Rhinolophus ferrumequinum: one gene and its partner. Each later gene encodes a partner of the first gene's protein in a complex. Links are inferred from orthologs where the notes say so. Each region holds a gene or a part of one and is shown in the gene's direction. Other genes may lie near its edges. The genes, in order: NF2 and LATS2.

Evidence for each region.
Region 2: the proteins of NF2 (region 1) and LATS2 are in contact, whole or in part, in a crystal structure (PDB 4ZRI), measured with the Homo sapiens proteins. The link is inferred for Rhinolophus ferrumequinum from reciprocal best matches to the Homo sapiens genes NF2 and LATS2. Residues at the interface, in NP_000259.1 of Homo sapiens: Pro135, Glu136, Ala137, Val139, Leu140, Tyr144, Asn175, Leu176, Tyr177, Gln178, Met179, Trp184, Arg187, Trp191, Glu206, Lys209, Ile210; in NP_055387.2 of Homo sapiens: Tyr73, Ala76, Leu77, Glu79, Ile80, Arg81, Ser83, Leu84, Leu85, Phe87, Ala88, Asn89.

What each region holds. Positions count from the first base shown.
Region 1 is NC_046308.1:18,945,216-18,952,851, forward strand, and holds the start of NF2 (merlin), read left to right. Parts: upstream 1-4,382; 5' UTR 4,383-4,898; coding exon 4,899-5,012; intron 5,013-7,636. UniProt on the Homo sapiens protein: Probable regulator of the Hippo/SWH (Sav/Wts/Hpo) signaling pathway, a signaling pathway that plays a pivotal role in tumor suppression by restricting proliferation and promoting apoptosis.
Region 2 is NC_046287.1:104,818,663-104,826,578, reverse strand, and holds the start of LATS2 (serine/threonine-protein kinase LATS2), read left to right. Parts: upstream 1-4,827; 5' UTR 4,828-4,922; intron 4,923-7,916. Other genes in the region: histone deacetylase complex subunit SAP18, read right to left, coding at 4,322-4,431, 4,577-4,705. UniProt on the Homo sapiens protein: Negative regulator of YAP1 in the Hippo signaling pathway that plays a pivotal role in organ size control and tumor suppression by restricting proliferation and promoting apoptosis.

The sequences.
Region 1 (7,636 bases):
AACTGAACAAGTATTTGGCCGATATTCATTAGAAGTGTCAAGGTGAAAAATAAGGAAAGACTGAAGATTTATTACAGACTGCAGAAGACTAAAGAGAAAGAACCCAATGTTATGTGGGAACCCTGACAGGATCTTGGAACAGAAAAGGACAGTAGTGGAAACACTGGTGAAATTTCAATAAGGGCTTTACTTTAGCTAATAGTTGTGTATCAATGTTAATTTCTTGATTCTGATAATTCTGTTATGATTAAGTAAGATGTTAACATTTGGGGAAGCTGAGTGAAGGATATAGAGAAACTACTATTTCTGCAAACTTTAAGTCTGATATTAGTTCAAAATAAAAGTTTAAAAATTATACATATGTAAGAAATACTTTGTTATATAAAGTATTGATCTAAGTAAAACAAATAAACAAAAAAGCCTTTAAGTAAGGGGTCCATAAGTATATAAAAAGAAATACAGCTAGTGCAACAAATAAACAGTAAGTGAGTGGGGGGAAAGTTATTACAAAGTGAGGAATAAGGGCAGGAAAAATAAGATGAAGCCAAAGATAAAGCAAAAGCAAGTAAAATTGCCAGAGGCTGAATTCAAATTTGGTTCTGGGCTTTCTAACAGAAAACTCCAAGAAGGCAACAAGATTGGTTATATGGTTTACAGCATGTTAAGAGAGAGAGAAAAAAACAAACCCAAACATTTACATGAGAGCCCATGCAGCCCTGAGAAAATTATATTATAGAATATTTAATGATATGGAAAAATATTCATAACATATTAATGAATGAAAAGTTAGCAAATCACAAAACAATATGTACTATATAAAAGCAGTGGGCCTGTGGATGATGAAAATTAAAATTGTTTTTTCTTTCTGCTTGTACAGGTTTCTATTGCTATGTAACAAATTATCACAATTTCAGTGGTAATTACATTTATCTCATGGGTCTAGAATCAGTCTGGAATCCAGGGTCTGGATTCCAGGGATGGCCTAGCATTATCTTCTGCTCAGGGTTTCAAAGGACTGAAGTCAAGGTATCCACCATACCACAGTTCTCATTGGAAGCTCAGGAAACTTTTCCTAGCTCATTCAGGTTATTGGCAGAATCCAGCTGCTTGTGGTAGTAGGATTGAAGTCTGTTTTCTTGCTGTCAGATGCGGACTACTCTTTGCTCCCAGAGGCTACCCAGAGTTCCTTGCTATGTGGCCTCATAGGCAGTTCACAACAAGGACGTTTGCTTTCTTCTAAGCCAGCAGGAGCTCATCTCTCTGACTCTCTCCACCTCTGTGTTCTTGTTCCCCTTTTAAGATTCACCTGATTAGGTCAGTCCCACTCATGATAATCTCCCTTTTGATGAATAAAACGGATTAGGGATTACATTTGCCTAAATTCCTTTTGCCATACAAAGTAACATAGTCACAGAATAATATCCCATCATATCCATAGGTCTTGCTCACACCCAAAGGGAAGAATTATACAAGGCTGTGGACATTGGGGGACATTTTAGAATTATGCCTACCACACTGCTGGTTTTCGATTTCTTTTTTTATAATACATATGGATTACTTGTAAAATAAGGAAAAACACAATAAAAAGTTATTTAGAAAATAAAAAGCAAACCAGTCTCGCATGAGTGCTGGAGTATGAGATTTCTCTCGTGGGTCTCCATAGAAAAGATACTGTGTGAAGCTTTGCCAGCTAAATATCTACTATAAAGATAGTCAGAGTTCCTCGAGGCCATTCCTTATAACATCCTCAGTACAGGACAATGGCTTCGTGCCAACATGCAGTAAAGTAATTCCGCAAGTGGCCAAAAATGACAGAGTACAGTTTTTGGCAGAGTTATCACAATCTAGAATTCACATGTGTGTCTAGGATAAGTTGATTTAATCAGTGGGATGAGTTGATTTAATCTGGAGTTCATAGATGTGCTTTGGACAAGTCTTTCCATGTACCTCCTAAAACCATATGGAAAATTTTGTGCATGTATGCATTCTTTTGAAGAGTGGGTTTGCTGGTTTCATCAGATTCTCTTATAGAGTATTTTCGACTCAAAAAATTTAAAGAAATTTATTTATCTTGGAATTATGGATACGTTGGGCTGGATAATTCTTTGTTGTGGGAGGTTGTCCTATGCATTGTGAGAGGTTTAATAGCATCCTTAGGCTTTACCCATAGAAGACAGGAGCACCCCTTAGTTGTGACAACCAATAAAATCTCGAGACATTGCCATATATCTGCTGGAGAGAAGTGACCTAACTTTGAAAACCTCTGATCTTCTGAAGAATGGACGAACAAAATATAAGTCAGGTGAGATCTGGATTAAAACAGTCCTGGATGAAAATTACATCTCTACCAGTCATGATCTTGGGTAAAATACCTGATTTCAGCCTTAGCTAATTTCCTCATGTGTAAACTAGGGATATAATATTTACCAAATAGGATTTTGATAAAGATCCAAGGAAATAAAGCATGCAAAACACTTTGCAGAGGGCTTCATATGGCAAGCACTTAATATATGGTAGCTATTAATATTCTTCCCATAATTGAGACCGTGAGTACTTATTCATTCAACAGATATTTATTACCTGGTGTCTATGTGCCAGATCTTTTTTAATGAGTTCTACCTGAACCATTCCTTCTCAAATCCTTACCTTGTAGGTATTATTACCATCTGTGTTTATTCTTTATGAATGGCAATTTTAATGCCAGCATACTATTCCATCACGTCTATTTTTATTCCTGGCATTGGCCTCCCTTGGGACATCCAGAGCTATGTATCTACCTGGATGTTTCCCTAGGAACATTTAAATTTGGCATGTTTGACCAATTAGCCCAGAGCCTAACACCTAGTAAGCCTTCCATAAAAACAAGCTATTATTGGCCATCAGTGTCTTTTTAGCCCCTGATTTCTGATCCACCTCCACTTGCTACTCCTCAGTGGGTTCCCAGATCACTTGGGTATTTTCTGTCAGCAGTCTTGGCCCTGGGTTAAAGAAAGCCCTGATTTATGTCCTGATGGGGACATCAGGAGAATCCAACCTGGTTCTCCCACCCCCCGGGGAAGAACTGAAGCAATGAAAATGAAGACACTTCTCCTCCCTCCCCCATCAGTTTGGTGGGGAGAATTTGCTAGCAGTAGACAGGACATAATGTTCCCCCACAGCAGCCTCTCTGAGTGTGCCAACAGATGATGTCTGGGGCCTGGCTGGTGCTTCATGGCACTGCAGGGGCCCATGAGGAAGAGCTCGATTTATGCTACTAGTTATCATTTTAGCAACAGTGTCTGCTGAGTCCTCCAGAACTGTAGTTCTTGGGGCTACACCAGGGAGCAATTTGGCAAACACAACCAGAGAAACAGGCAGTGCAGTGGTAATACTGGCAGGCTTTGGATGGGATAGACCTGGGTTCCAGTCCCAGCTTCACCTTTCGCTATCTGGTTGATAGCCAGCTAGTGGTTCTGTCATGTTGAGCCTGCTTCCTCCTCTGTAGAGAAGAGGTGATGGTTAACATTTATGGAGTGCTTACCGTTGAATTAAAACACAGGACATTGTCTCCTTTCAACACTTACGAGGTATTTAAAAATAGGATTTATTTTTTAAATACAGCAAGTTTTACTTCCTCGCCTCATATACACTCGTTATAAGCTTTGATGACATTTAAAAAATAAATAATACACGTATATGGTTCGAAACAGAAATCAGAGTACAAAGTGAGAAATGCTTTCGTTTTGACCATTTTGTATCTACAAAAACAGCAATTTCCTAGGATTCAATCTAGTATGTGCCAGCCACCGTTCTAAAACTTTATGTTAACTCGCTTAAATTCCTCAAAACCTCCATGAAGTAGGTACAATTATCCCCTCCTCGGTAATAATGAATACTTCTAAAGAGAAGCAGAAGGATCTGTGGGAGAGTGCCGGGAACCTAGGCGGCCTCCACAAGTAATTTAAAAGTTTTGAGAAACATAGGTCAGTATATGTAATTACTAAGTGCTAAACAGGATTATCCGCCGGGTGTCCGAAACACGATGCCTTGGGGCGTCATACTCGGCGCGTACTTGATCTGAAGGGCAGTCCTTTACTGGACCTGGGAGAAACCCGACTCCCGTACCCTGGGGCCAGCCTCAACGTGGTTTCCCAGGAAAGGCGCGCCGGGATCCGCCGCCTCAACCAGTCTTGTTAGAGTAGGCGTACCCCTTGCTAACAAAGCGATCGGAGCGACGGCGTCTATAGCCAGTCAACTCCGAACCCAGGCCCACGCCTCCAGTTGGAGCGGAACTTCCAATTGGTGGAGTCCTTGTGAGGAAGGCGGGACGGAGAGTGAAAGTCCCGCCTTCTTCGGAGTTTTAAGCCAATTGCTGCGTCTAAGGGGTGGTCGCCTGTTAGGTTGAGCTGTGAGTTGTGATCTCGGGGGCCTGAGGGCGGGGCAGGGAGCAGGCCGGGGGCTGCGGGGAGGGGACACTTCCCGCGGGCGCGCGGAGCGAGGACGGTGACAGCCACGCGCGCACGTGCGCGCCTGGCTGCGGCGCGGCCCCGAGACCTCCGTCAGCCGCTGAGAGGCGCGCGGGATCTGGGCCGCTGCCGTCTAGGGGCCCCGTCCCCGGGTGACCCCAGCGTCCTCGGCTCGAGTCCCGGAGCTCCGGGCCGAGTCCGCCCCGTCGGTCCTCGCTCGCGTTCCCTTCCTACGGCCGTAAGGGCTCGCCCCGCAACTCCACCTTTCCGCTCCCGGGGCAGGGTCCTCGCGGCCCATGCTGGCCGCTTGGGGCCCGCGCGGCTCAGACAGCTCCCAGGCTGGCCACCCGGCCACCATGGTGGCCCTGAGGCCTGTGCAGCTCCTCCAGGGGGGCTAACAGTCCCAAAGCGCAGGTCTCGGGACGCGAGGGTCCCGGGCCTGAGCCCCGCACCATGGCCGGGGCCATCGCTTCCCGCATGAGCTTCAGCTCGCTCAAGAGGAAGCAGCCCAAGACGTTCACCGTGCGGATCGTCACCATGGACGCCGAGATGGAGTTCAATTGCGAGGTAACCAACTGGCAGCCCGAATGGGCTGCTGTGAGCGGAGCCTGGCGGAATCTCTGCTCTCCTGGCCCTCGTGCGGGTTTGGCACTTATCGGGGCGCCCCTGTCGCGGTGACAGTCGAGGTGGAGACTTGAGGGATTCTGCTTATATCATCTCTGGGCATAGATAGGGATGGCTAGAACCGGAAGGAACCATCTAGGCCCAAATCCTCATATTAAAGATAAATTGCTGCCCTTTTCAGTAGGGCTTTGGGTTTGGAAGCACTTCCTTCGTGTTTTCATTCATTGTTACTGCTAAAGGCTGGAAGCATCTGTGGTAGCAAATTCTAGTTTTCAGTGTCAGGCTTAGGCTCCAGCGCTACAGAGTTTTTACTCCATTAGACAATATTATGTACACCAGGTATTAAAAAGCATCTTGTGTTATTGGGAAGTCTATACTTGTTTCCTTTTTCCAAAACTTAAATTTTCTGGAAAAAAACTTTGAGGAAAGAGGTGGTGTCTTACATTTTCCATAGTTTCTATCATGATGATAACAGTTACTATTTGTTGAATACTTTCTAAGTGCCGGACATTCATACATTTAATTCTTACAACAACCCAATGAGATACATACCCCAAATCATATATATAGTAAATGGCGAAGTGGGGTTTTGAATCAAGCTCTTAGCCCATACAGTACTGCCTTCTCAAGTAATTTAAGCTCTTGCTATTCAAAGTGTGGTCTGTGGACCAGCAGTATTGGCAGCAGTGACCTAAGTCAGGGATTGGCAAACTTTTTCTGTCAAGGGCCACATAGTAAATATTTTCAGCTTTGAAGGCTATAAGGTCTCAGTTGCAACTACTTAACTCTTCAGATGTACTATTGTAGCACCATTGTAGCCCAAAAGCCACTGTAGACAGGATTAACTTCTAGCATGACTTCCAGTGTGAAGAGCTCCACTGACATGGTTCTTTATAAAACTGGTAAAAATTATTTAAAAAAAAATTCAAATCCTCTAGGAATGGTCCTAAAGGCAAACATTAAGTGAAGAAACATCTATTCAAGAAAATACATAAAAATTTGGTAAGGAAGGCAAGGGTTTGTGGCATTTGAACCAAGACCACTACCACCCTCCCTGTTCCCAGCTCAGCAAGGCAGAGATTCTGCTTCGGACTGCTGCAACTCAAAACACAGGGCTCCCTCTCCCCTAGCTCCTAGTCAGAAGGCTGTCTTCCTAAGAGGAGCAGAACTTCAGTGCTTCTCAGCTGCCCAAGGTTATTTGTTGCTGAAACTGAGTGGAGTTGAAAGATGGGAGCTTCTTTCTTCCACCCAGCTCCTACTTGTGGAATGGAGGCTGTGCCCTGGGTGTGGCACACTGAAAATACTAGGCCCCATTTACTCTTGGCCCACGCTCAGCCTGGGAGAAGGTGGTTCCAGCCCAGAGAGGCAAACTGAGAAGACCTCAGGGTGGTATGTCCTCCCTCCCCACTTCCACCAAGGGCTCAGAAATTTTGCCAGGAGGGAGAAGCAGCCTTAAAAACCTTAGCTACTAATCTCTTTCCAAAGGTTGGAACTTCATTGGCTACATATTATGGAGAAGTTTATGCCTAAGGGTACTCAAGAACAGTGGAGGTCTTGGTGAAAGGCAATTGGTAGGGGATTTGTGGATTGAATGAAGATGCGACCTAGATTGTAGGCCAGCTTGTTTGCAGGAGAGAATGGGGCAATAAGATAGCTAGGGAAAAGCCCTGCTGGGGTCAGAACAAATATCAAACATGGATCTCAGGAACTGTTCCCTCAAAAGAGACACCTTTTGATTGGATTACTGTAGAGCAAGTTATGCCCCTGAGCATTGTTGAAAATAATAGAACAATATACCACAATTAGTGGAGTTTAACAGCTGGGTACGATTAGGGAAAGAGAGCCCTACTAAAACCTATGGTCATAAGCAAAGATGGCCTTCCTGAGGACAAACATCATAGGCCTTAACACTGTGAGGGAAATAGATTTCAGCCAGTCTTTAAATAAATAAGCAAATAACAATAACAAGCCCAGAAGAGGGGGCACCAGTTCCCAGGATTGCTATATTATCTAAAATGTCTAGTTTCCAACAAAACATTATGAGGTATGCAAAGAAACAGGGAAATATGACCCATACAATTGATAAAGGCTAGCAACAGAAATTGCTTGTGAGAGCGACCAGATGTCAGATTTAATGAAAAGGTTTCAAAGTAGCCATTATAAATATGTTCACAGAACTAAAGGAAAGCATGATTAAGGAAGTTAAGGAAGGGATAATGATATTTTTGTATCAGATAGAGAATATAAATAGAGAGAGATGAATTATTAAAAAGAACCAAATTAAAACTCTGGAGTTGGAAAGTACTGTGACTGAAATAAAAAATTCAGAGGGGCTCAAAGTAGATTCGAACTGGCAGAAGAAAGCATTTGCATACTTGAAGATAGATTGGTAGAGATTATACAAGCTGAAAAGTAGAGAGGAAAAAAAATGAAGAAAAATGTACAGAGCTGCAGAAAAATGTGATAGGTGCAGCAACATGCACAGTGGTAATACCAGAAGGAGAGGAGAGGGAAAAAATATTTTTAAAATAATGACTGAAACTCTCTAAATTTATTGAAAAACAATA
Region 2 (7,916 bases), on another chromosome or scaffold:
ACATCCTGGTGGCCTACTTATTTACCCCTTTAAGGTAACTAGTCCAAATTAATCCAAATACTTAAAACAGTCGTATTTCATTATTTCTAAGACACATACTTTTCCACATTTCAGCATCTGTGAAATCGCAATGCATCGTAGAATGCATGTGATAGGCAAGCTCTTTCATACAGATGTGCAGCTTCTCCTTTCTAAGATGGAATCCTAAAAAGCCAATGAAACATGAAAGTTTCAAGACTAAGCACATGCTCCTTTCACAATGTATATTTTTGCCCTGCAAATATTTATTTGATCTCAGAAATTAATATAATCCTTTGAGCTAATGTGGCACAAATGTGGAAAAATCTATTAAAAATACAAGCATCTTGGAAACAGTAACAAACCAGTATAAATTTCTGTATTTCTTTCATGGCAACTGGGAAGATGAAACAGATGACCTAAAACTTGAAACAGCATAGCCTGTAGGGCCCATAAGATGACACAAGGACACCAGGCACTGATGAAGAATTAAGAACTCTGAAACACAGCACCAGGCAGGGGGTCAAACGCCCAAGGCCATTTAGTTTTAACACTCTATTTACAAGCCTCGGCTTCACACTGAGTAAAAAACTCCAAATCGAATCTTTCCATGGAGGCTCCCACCAGCTCGGAGGTGCTCTGGAAACAAGGAGGTGCTCTGGAAACAAGCCGCTCCTCTCGTTACCATGAGAACAACCGATGCCCTCTCAATTGCCAGCCCTAAAGCTAAGCACTGCTCCCCTCTCCCCATCGTTACCCTGCTGTTTCCACCTGCTCAATACAGATCAAATCATTTTTCTCCATGCCCACCACTGGTGCTGTTTCAATCTCTCATTATTTAATTCCTCTGTTTACCCCTTCCCACCTACGGGGAGGAGTCCCACTGTTGGAGGACAGCAAAGAGCACGACAGCATGTGCCGCCAGGAGCAGCACCCAGGATGTCACCCCACTCCAGGGTTTGCAGTGTTGGGATTGCCAAGAACGACACGGACAACACTTTGAGAAGGAACAGCAAGACAAGCTTCAGACGTTACTGCTGGTCCCCCCACTGCCTACAGCTCTCACCTGCAGCCCATCAGACGGTCTTGCATGTCCCTCTCATGAGCAGGGAAGGGGCCACATGATGCTTGAGCAGCACAAAGAACATCAAGCCCAGGACAGGGACAGAGCAAAGCTCAGCACAGGCGGCGAGGGCCCTTACCTCTTTACAAGGAAATGACCCAGGCCCAAGGCCACTGTGGCCCTGTGATAGGCGAGAAGCTGTGCAAGACTGCCTTTCCCAACATGACACATGTTCATTATTGAAAGAGGGGAAAGCCATCTGCAGGAATGCAGTAAATTATATCCCACACCTCACCACCCAGCAGTAACCAGTGACGTTACACCACTTCTGGCATCTTTCTGTGCACATGCACAGTGCTACAGAAATTGATCATCAAGCGTGTTATATATGCTGAGACAATACAAAAAAAACTGCTTCAAATATTACACATATTTTTAAGAAAACTTGAAATTAACAGAAGGAAAAACTAAAGTCAAATTGAAGGAATTGTAAAACTTCGTAACGATGTTACTCTTCCTCTCAACCCTGTCCTTTTGTAGCTTATTTTTACTTTGTCCCCAGTGATCTCCAATGTTGGCCTGAAACTTGAGGCCCGAGTGACTTTCTTTAACCCGATATTCTGCTGTTTATTGTAATCAATTATTCCTGATATACAGAATGTACTTGTGTGTACCAAAAAGGATTCTCTTCCTTTCTACAAACGTTTTCCAGATTTTCATCTTGCTCAGGACGAACATGGGGAGCTGGTTCACACCTCTCAGTGAATAGTCCTCCTCCATGAGCCCCCGCCTGCCTGCTGAGGGCTGTCACCTAGAGCAGCTGGACTGCCAAGTGCACTTTCTGACTAGTCCACAGCTTGAGCACTCAGGTGAAGAGTAAACAACGAATACTCTACAGCGTAGTAGTAAATGCATTTCCGACTTACGATATTTCCAACTTAGCATGGGTTTATCGGGACATAACCCCATCCATGGTAAGTCAAGGAGCATCCTATTTGGTAGGTGGGATTCAAGTCCCATCAGTTGGACTTTAGAGATCATCCTAGATAATCCAGTAGGCCTGATCCAATCAGTTGAGGGCCGTAGCCGGCTGTGGACCCAGATTTCAAGCAGTGCCCTTCCTGATAGACTGCCCTACAGATGAGGAATTCAGGTCGCCGGGCAGCCCCCCCAACTGTATAAGCCAATTCTTTGTTATATAAATCTCTTAAAACTGCTGATGGTTCTGTTTTCCTGGGTGAACCCTGATACAGTGGCCTACATGATTTTCTTCCAGTAACCTGTTTAATGACCACCTAATCACAGGACACGTATCACTCTGGTGTATCTGTCTTGTTCCCAGCCCCACGCAATGCCCTGAACTTTTGCAAACTCAACTGGTTTCTGCTGGGCTCCTCTGGACTCCCACTGCCTTTTCCTTGACTTCTTAGGGCTGTGTACATTAGCTTCTCGGTCCAGTTCCAAAAATTGAGAATTCCTAAGATTTGTTAACCAACCTCCCTCATTCCTGCTTCTGGGAGAGGGACAGGTCTCTGCGCTACCTCCACACCAACCATCCAGTCTTTCAGAATCTGTTTTTTTGGAGGTATAGTATAAGGTTCTTTCCTTGTTTGTTTAGGACAGGAATTTTTCTAATCTTGATCGGGAGTAGAGGATCTATTGAACAATCTCACCCTGCCATCTTCACCCTAGTCTTCCTTAGCATTTGTTAGAGTGCTTTCTCGCTGGACTGAGCTCACTGTAGGGAGCGTCAGCACCATCTTTCCTTTATGCCCTGAGGGTCTAAGTACAGCACCTGGCAAACAAAATCTTATTTGTTGGAGAAAATATACACTTTAATCTTTGAACAGAGGTTTTCATCAACCCAGTAATAACAGTTCCTCCCTCTAACTGAAATCAACCTTCTCTGGCTTTATTCTGGGATGATATACTGAACTGGACTCATACTACTACATAAACTTAACAAGCCCCTTCAAAAAGACAAATAAGGTCCAAATCTTTAAAGAGCTGAGTTCTAGTATATTGGGCTTACAGTTTAAAATTACACACCTTTAGAGGAACGTAAAATACTGTGTGAAAAACAGTTTGGCGGTTCCTCAAAAAGTTAAACATAGAATGAGCACATGATCCTGCAATCCTACTTCTGAGTATAGAACCAACTGTATCCCACTTCTGGGTATAGAACCCAAAGAACTGAAAGCAGGCTGAAAGAGATTTGTACTCCCATGTTTACAGCAGCATTATTCACTGGCTGAAATGTACAAACAACCCCACAATGCCTATCAATAGATGGACCAACAAAATGTAGTATATCCATACAGTGAAATTTTAGCCATAAAAAAGAATTGTTGTATGTGACACCATGAATGAAGCTTTAAAACTTATGCTAAGTGAAATAAACTAGACAAAAGAACAAATATTGTGTAAGTCCACTTATATGAAGTGTCTAAAGTAGATAAATTCAGAGACAAAGTAGATTACCCTGGATATACCCGGACTGGTATAGAATTTCTGTTGCGAGGGAATGAAAAAGTTGTGGGAATAGATTAACAGTAATGGTGCACAATGTGAATATACTTAATGCCACTGAATTGTATCCTTAAAAACAGTTAAAATGGCAAATGTAATACACACACACAAAAGACAAATTTTAAAAAAGTATACCTTTCGTACTGCTACTAAAAAACCATTATGATGTCAATCAAACGAAGGAATTACACGTACATGCTGCTTGCTGTGTATAACGTTCCTAGTCAGACTCGGGGTAGGTAAGGTACACACAAGAGATACACATTCAGGGGCAGGTCTTCACTGAGCACACATCAAAATCTTTTCTATTATGCATCAGATCAGAAACCACCCCGGTTTTGCTGATATTTGATGCTACGGCAGTAAGGCTCAATATCACCTGGAAGTGCTCCTCGAGGACAACACACATCACTCGACAGCATGGCTGACCCTTCCCCGTGACTGTAGTACCATGTATTCGACCGGCAGCCCCTTATGGGCGGCTGCCGCATTTTAACGATCTGCGTGCCATTGCTCTACCAAGCAGCCATAACTCCACAACGCCAAAGGTTCACCATTAGACGCAGAAGCTTACAAGACGGGTCGGACCGATCTTTTCACTTAACAGCCGAAACTAACTCTGTGAGAGTGGCGCCCGCAGGCTCAAGTGGGGGCTGCTCCCCACCGGCCCAGGGGACTCGCCGGTGCCCGCTCGTCCCGCGGCCCACTCACCAGGTGTAGATCTGCAGCTCGCTGGATGGCACGTTCCCTCGGGAGAACTCGTCCATGCGGTGATGGCGGCCGTTGTTGGTGGTGAAGACGCGCAGCAGCAGCGGGCACGTCTGGGGGACAGGAGTAAAGGCAAGGGAACAAGCTGAAGCGGCGCGGCCAGCCTCCCGCAGGCGCCGCGGCCTCCGAGCCGCCCCCTGCGCGCAGGCCCCGCTCTCCACCCCGCCAGCCCACTGGCACCTCGTCCGGACGCCTCACCTTCTCCCGGTCGATCGGCTTCTCCGGCTCCTTCTTAATTTCCTCCTGGGTGACGCGCGACTCCACCGCCATCTTCCTCCTGTGGCCCGCGAGACGCTCGCTCTGACCTCCGACCCCGGCAGCTAGCATGAGAACGAAGTGTCTCGCGAGGAGAAGCTCGAGGCTTTATAGCAGACAGGGCGGGGTGAGGGTGGGGCGGGGCCTTCCGCGGCGCAAGCGCATTTTGTTGCGCGGTGCACTAACCCAGACAGGCCGCGCCTGCGCGTTGTGTTGTTCGGGAAGAGGCGGGCGCTGGCGTCCCCGCAGCGGAACTTCTGAGGGACGTCGCCGGACCTTGTTGGCCAAGGTATTTATGCATTCCCTGAAATGTTCACAGGCCAAATAAGCTCACGAGGGCGTATTCGCACGAAATTATGGAAACCTTAACGCAAAACGCCTAAGAACAGTACAGGAGGTCCTGTTGTGAGTAAGCAAAAACATGCCTTTATTAGCAAACTGTCGAGCTCTTTTTTGATAGAGGTAGGGTAACACGTGGTAAAAGGGCCCGAACGTGGTCCCTGAGTTAAGACTAGGGAGGCACTGCAAAACAGAGGGAACAGTGAGTGACCTGGACTGAGGGAAGAAAGGACTCCTCCCACCCCACCCCTACACAGAATTTCGGGAGCGGTCAAAGACCTAAGTGTGAACAGCAAAACTCGCACTTTCTGGAAATAACATAGTAGACCGTCTTCATGACCAATGGATAGGGATATGTGATACAAAAAGCACTAACCATAAAAGGTTGACAAAGTTTGCTAGATTAAAATAGAAAAAAAAACAACAAATCCTAACCTTCAGCATACATCATAAAGAAAGAGAAGCATAAATCACAGAGTGGAAGAAGGTATCAGGGGTGCATGTGATTGACAAGAGCTAGGGTCCGGGATATGAAAGAACTAAAGAAGAATTCCAATAGAAAAATGGGTAAAATCATTGATTTGAAAATGGAGAAATCCACATGGCCAATAAACATAAGGTGCTGAAGCTCATTACTAGTCAGGAAATGCATTAAAACCACAGTGATCGGCTTTAATTGATTGGTTTTAAACTACACGTACCTCTGGGTAAAAATTGGAATTCTGACAGTTGTTGGTAGACTAATGGGAATTCTCAAATGGTATATATACCACTTTGGGAAGTAGTTTAGGATTATTTAGTAAAATTGAAGATACGTATACTTTAGATCTAACAATACCACTCCTTGGTATATACCCTAGAGACAGCCTTGCTCAGCTGTATCCGGAGACATAAGAATGTTCTTGGCAGTATTGTTCATAAGAAAAAAGAGTGGAAACATCCCAAGTGTCCATTAGCATTACAGTAGTTCAATGAATTGTGGTATCTATACAGCAACAAAAATGAACAAACTACAGCCACATGAAACCAACTGTGTGAAACATCATGAATTTCACAAGCATAATGGTAGGTGTAAGAAGCCGAAGACAAAAGAATGTATACTATGTGAACCCATTCTTACAACATTCAAAAGCATGCAATGCCATATTGTTCAGGATTCATTTCCAGGTGATAAAACTATAAAAAGAAAAGCAATGAAGTCATTACCACAAAAGTCAGAATGGTCGTTAACTCTGAGAAAAAAATGGATTGTGACCATGGAGGGGCAAAGGTGTTTTTTTTTTTTATTGAGGTGGTGATTACACCGTTTGATTTTAAATTGTTCTTTAAACAGTACATTTATGTTTTATGCATTCTTCTGCATGAATGCTGTATCATGCTATTTTAAAAAATACCCCACCAAAGGAAAAAAAATGCCTATAAGTCAGTAAGAAAAAGACAATCCAATAGAAAATGGGCAAAGGGCATATAGGCCTTTCAAAGAAAACACAAATTGCATGTAAACATGAAAAAATGCCCAACCTCATGAATAATCATAGAAAAACGCACATTTAAATCACAATGAGATAACATTTCACAACTAGATTGGCCAAGATGGAAATCTGACAACCAAGTGCTATGAAGGAGATGGAGAAAAGGGAGTTTTTATGGGCTACTCTGATCTACTTTGGAAAAATTGATGTTATCTAGAAAGACTGGATATGAGTACACGTGAAGACCCAGCTATTCCACTTCTATGCTATGCCCCAGAGAAATTGTTACACATAGTCAAACTTTTAGAAACAATTTGAATGTCTACCAAGAGTATATTGGTAAAATGGAATACATAAAGTTGAAAGTAAATGAATGAATGAATATGCTCTTTTAAAAGTAGAATTAAAAAAGCAAGTCAGAAAAACGCAATGGGATTCAATTTATGCAGAGTTCAAAATTAGGAAAATATTCCCTGTCTCCCCCCACCCCCACACAAAAAGTACTGTTTAGGGAAACAAACACCACATGGTAAAACTATAAAGAAAAGAACTGGGATGATTAAAACTAAATTCAGGATAGTGTTATCTCTGAGAGTAAGCTGGATGACCCAATTTATGAAGGGCATCCTGGGAGCTTCTAAAATACTAGAAATGTGCTCTTTCTCACTAGGGGTGGGGGTGGTTTTTCATTTTTACATTGTAGCTGTACATTTTAGATACTCGTGTGATTTAGATCACTGTTAAAAATTTTTAACTATTATTTAGGGATAGGACCTTACATGCAGTCAATATCCAGTTTTTTACAAAAGATTAAATTTCCTTCAAGTTCTATGATTCTAATATTAAACCTTTTTCAAAACCTCCATAGTATAAAAATACAGACACATGAGGGCACTCTAACCAATAAACTAAAGGGAAACATTGAAACTGAAAATGAACCTCATGACCTCTTAGTGGTGACTGGGAGGTTTAGTCGCTTAGATGTAAGCTTTTATAATGGACCTTTCTGAATGAGGCTCTCATCAAAATGGGAGTCCTGATGCCTGTGACAGTGCAACTGCAGCTGTATATCAGAACAATTCAGGCTGACTTTCAGCATCCCTCAGTCTACCTACTTGGCTTTCTAGGTCCAGCACTGAGCACAAACTGTAAAATTTAAGTATATGCATCCTTTCTCTTTATAGAATTTACAAAGGAGAATTACAGTTCTCGGTGGTTCTGAGAGCCATCTCCTTACCAGTACATTTTAAGCCAGTGGAACAGAATGGGGGTTGCATTTGCTTGTCATGGAGTTGAATCTCTCACTTTACCCCCTATTTTAAGCATTTGAATGATTATATTGAAATGGTTTTTAAACGAACATTCTCTTCCTCAAGAGTCTGCAGTGTCAACAACATATGTACTTACCAGAAGCAAGTTGCAGAGGGTGACTCAAAGGCTTAATCAGTGGTTAAAAAGTTTAGTCTTTGAAG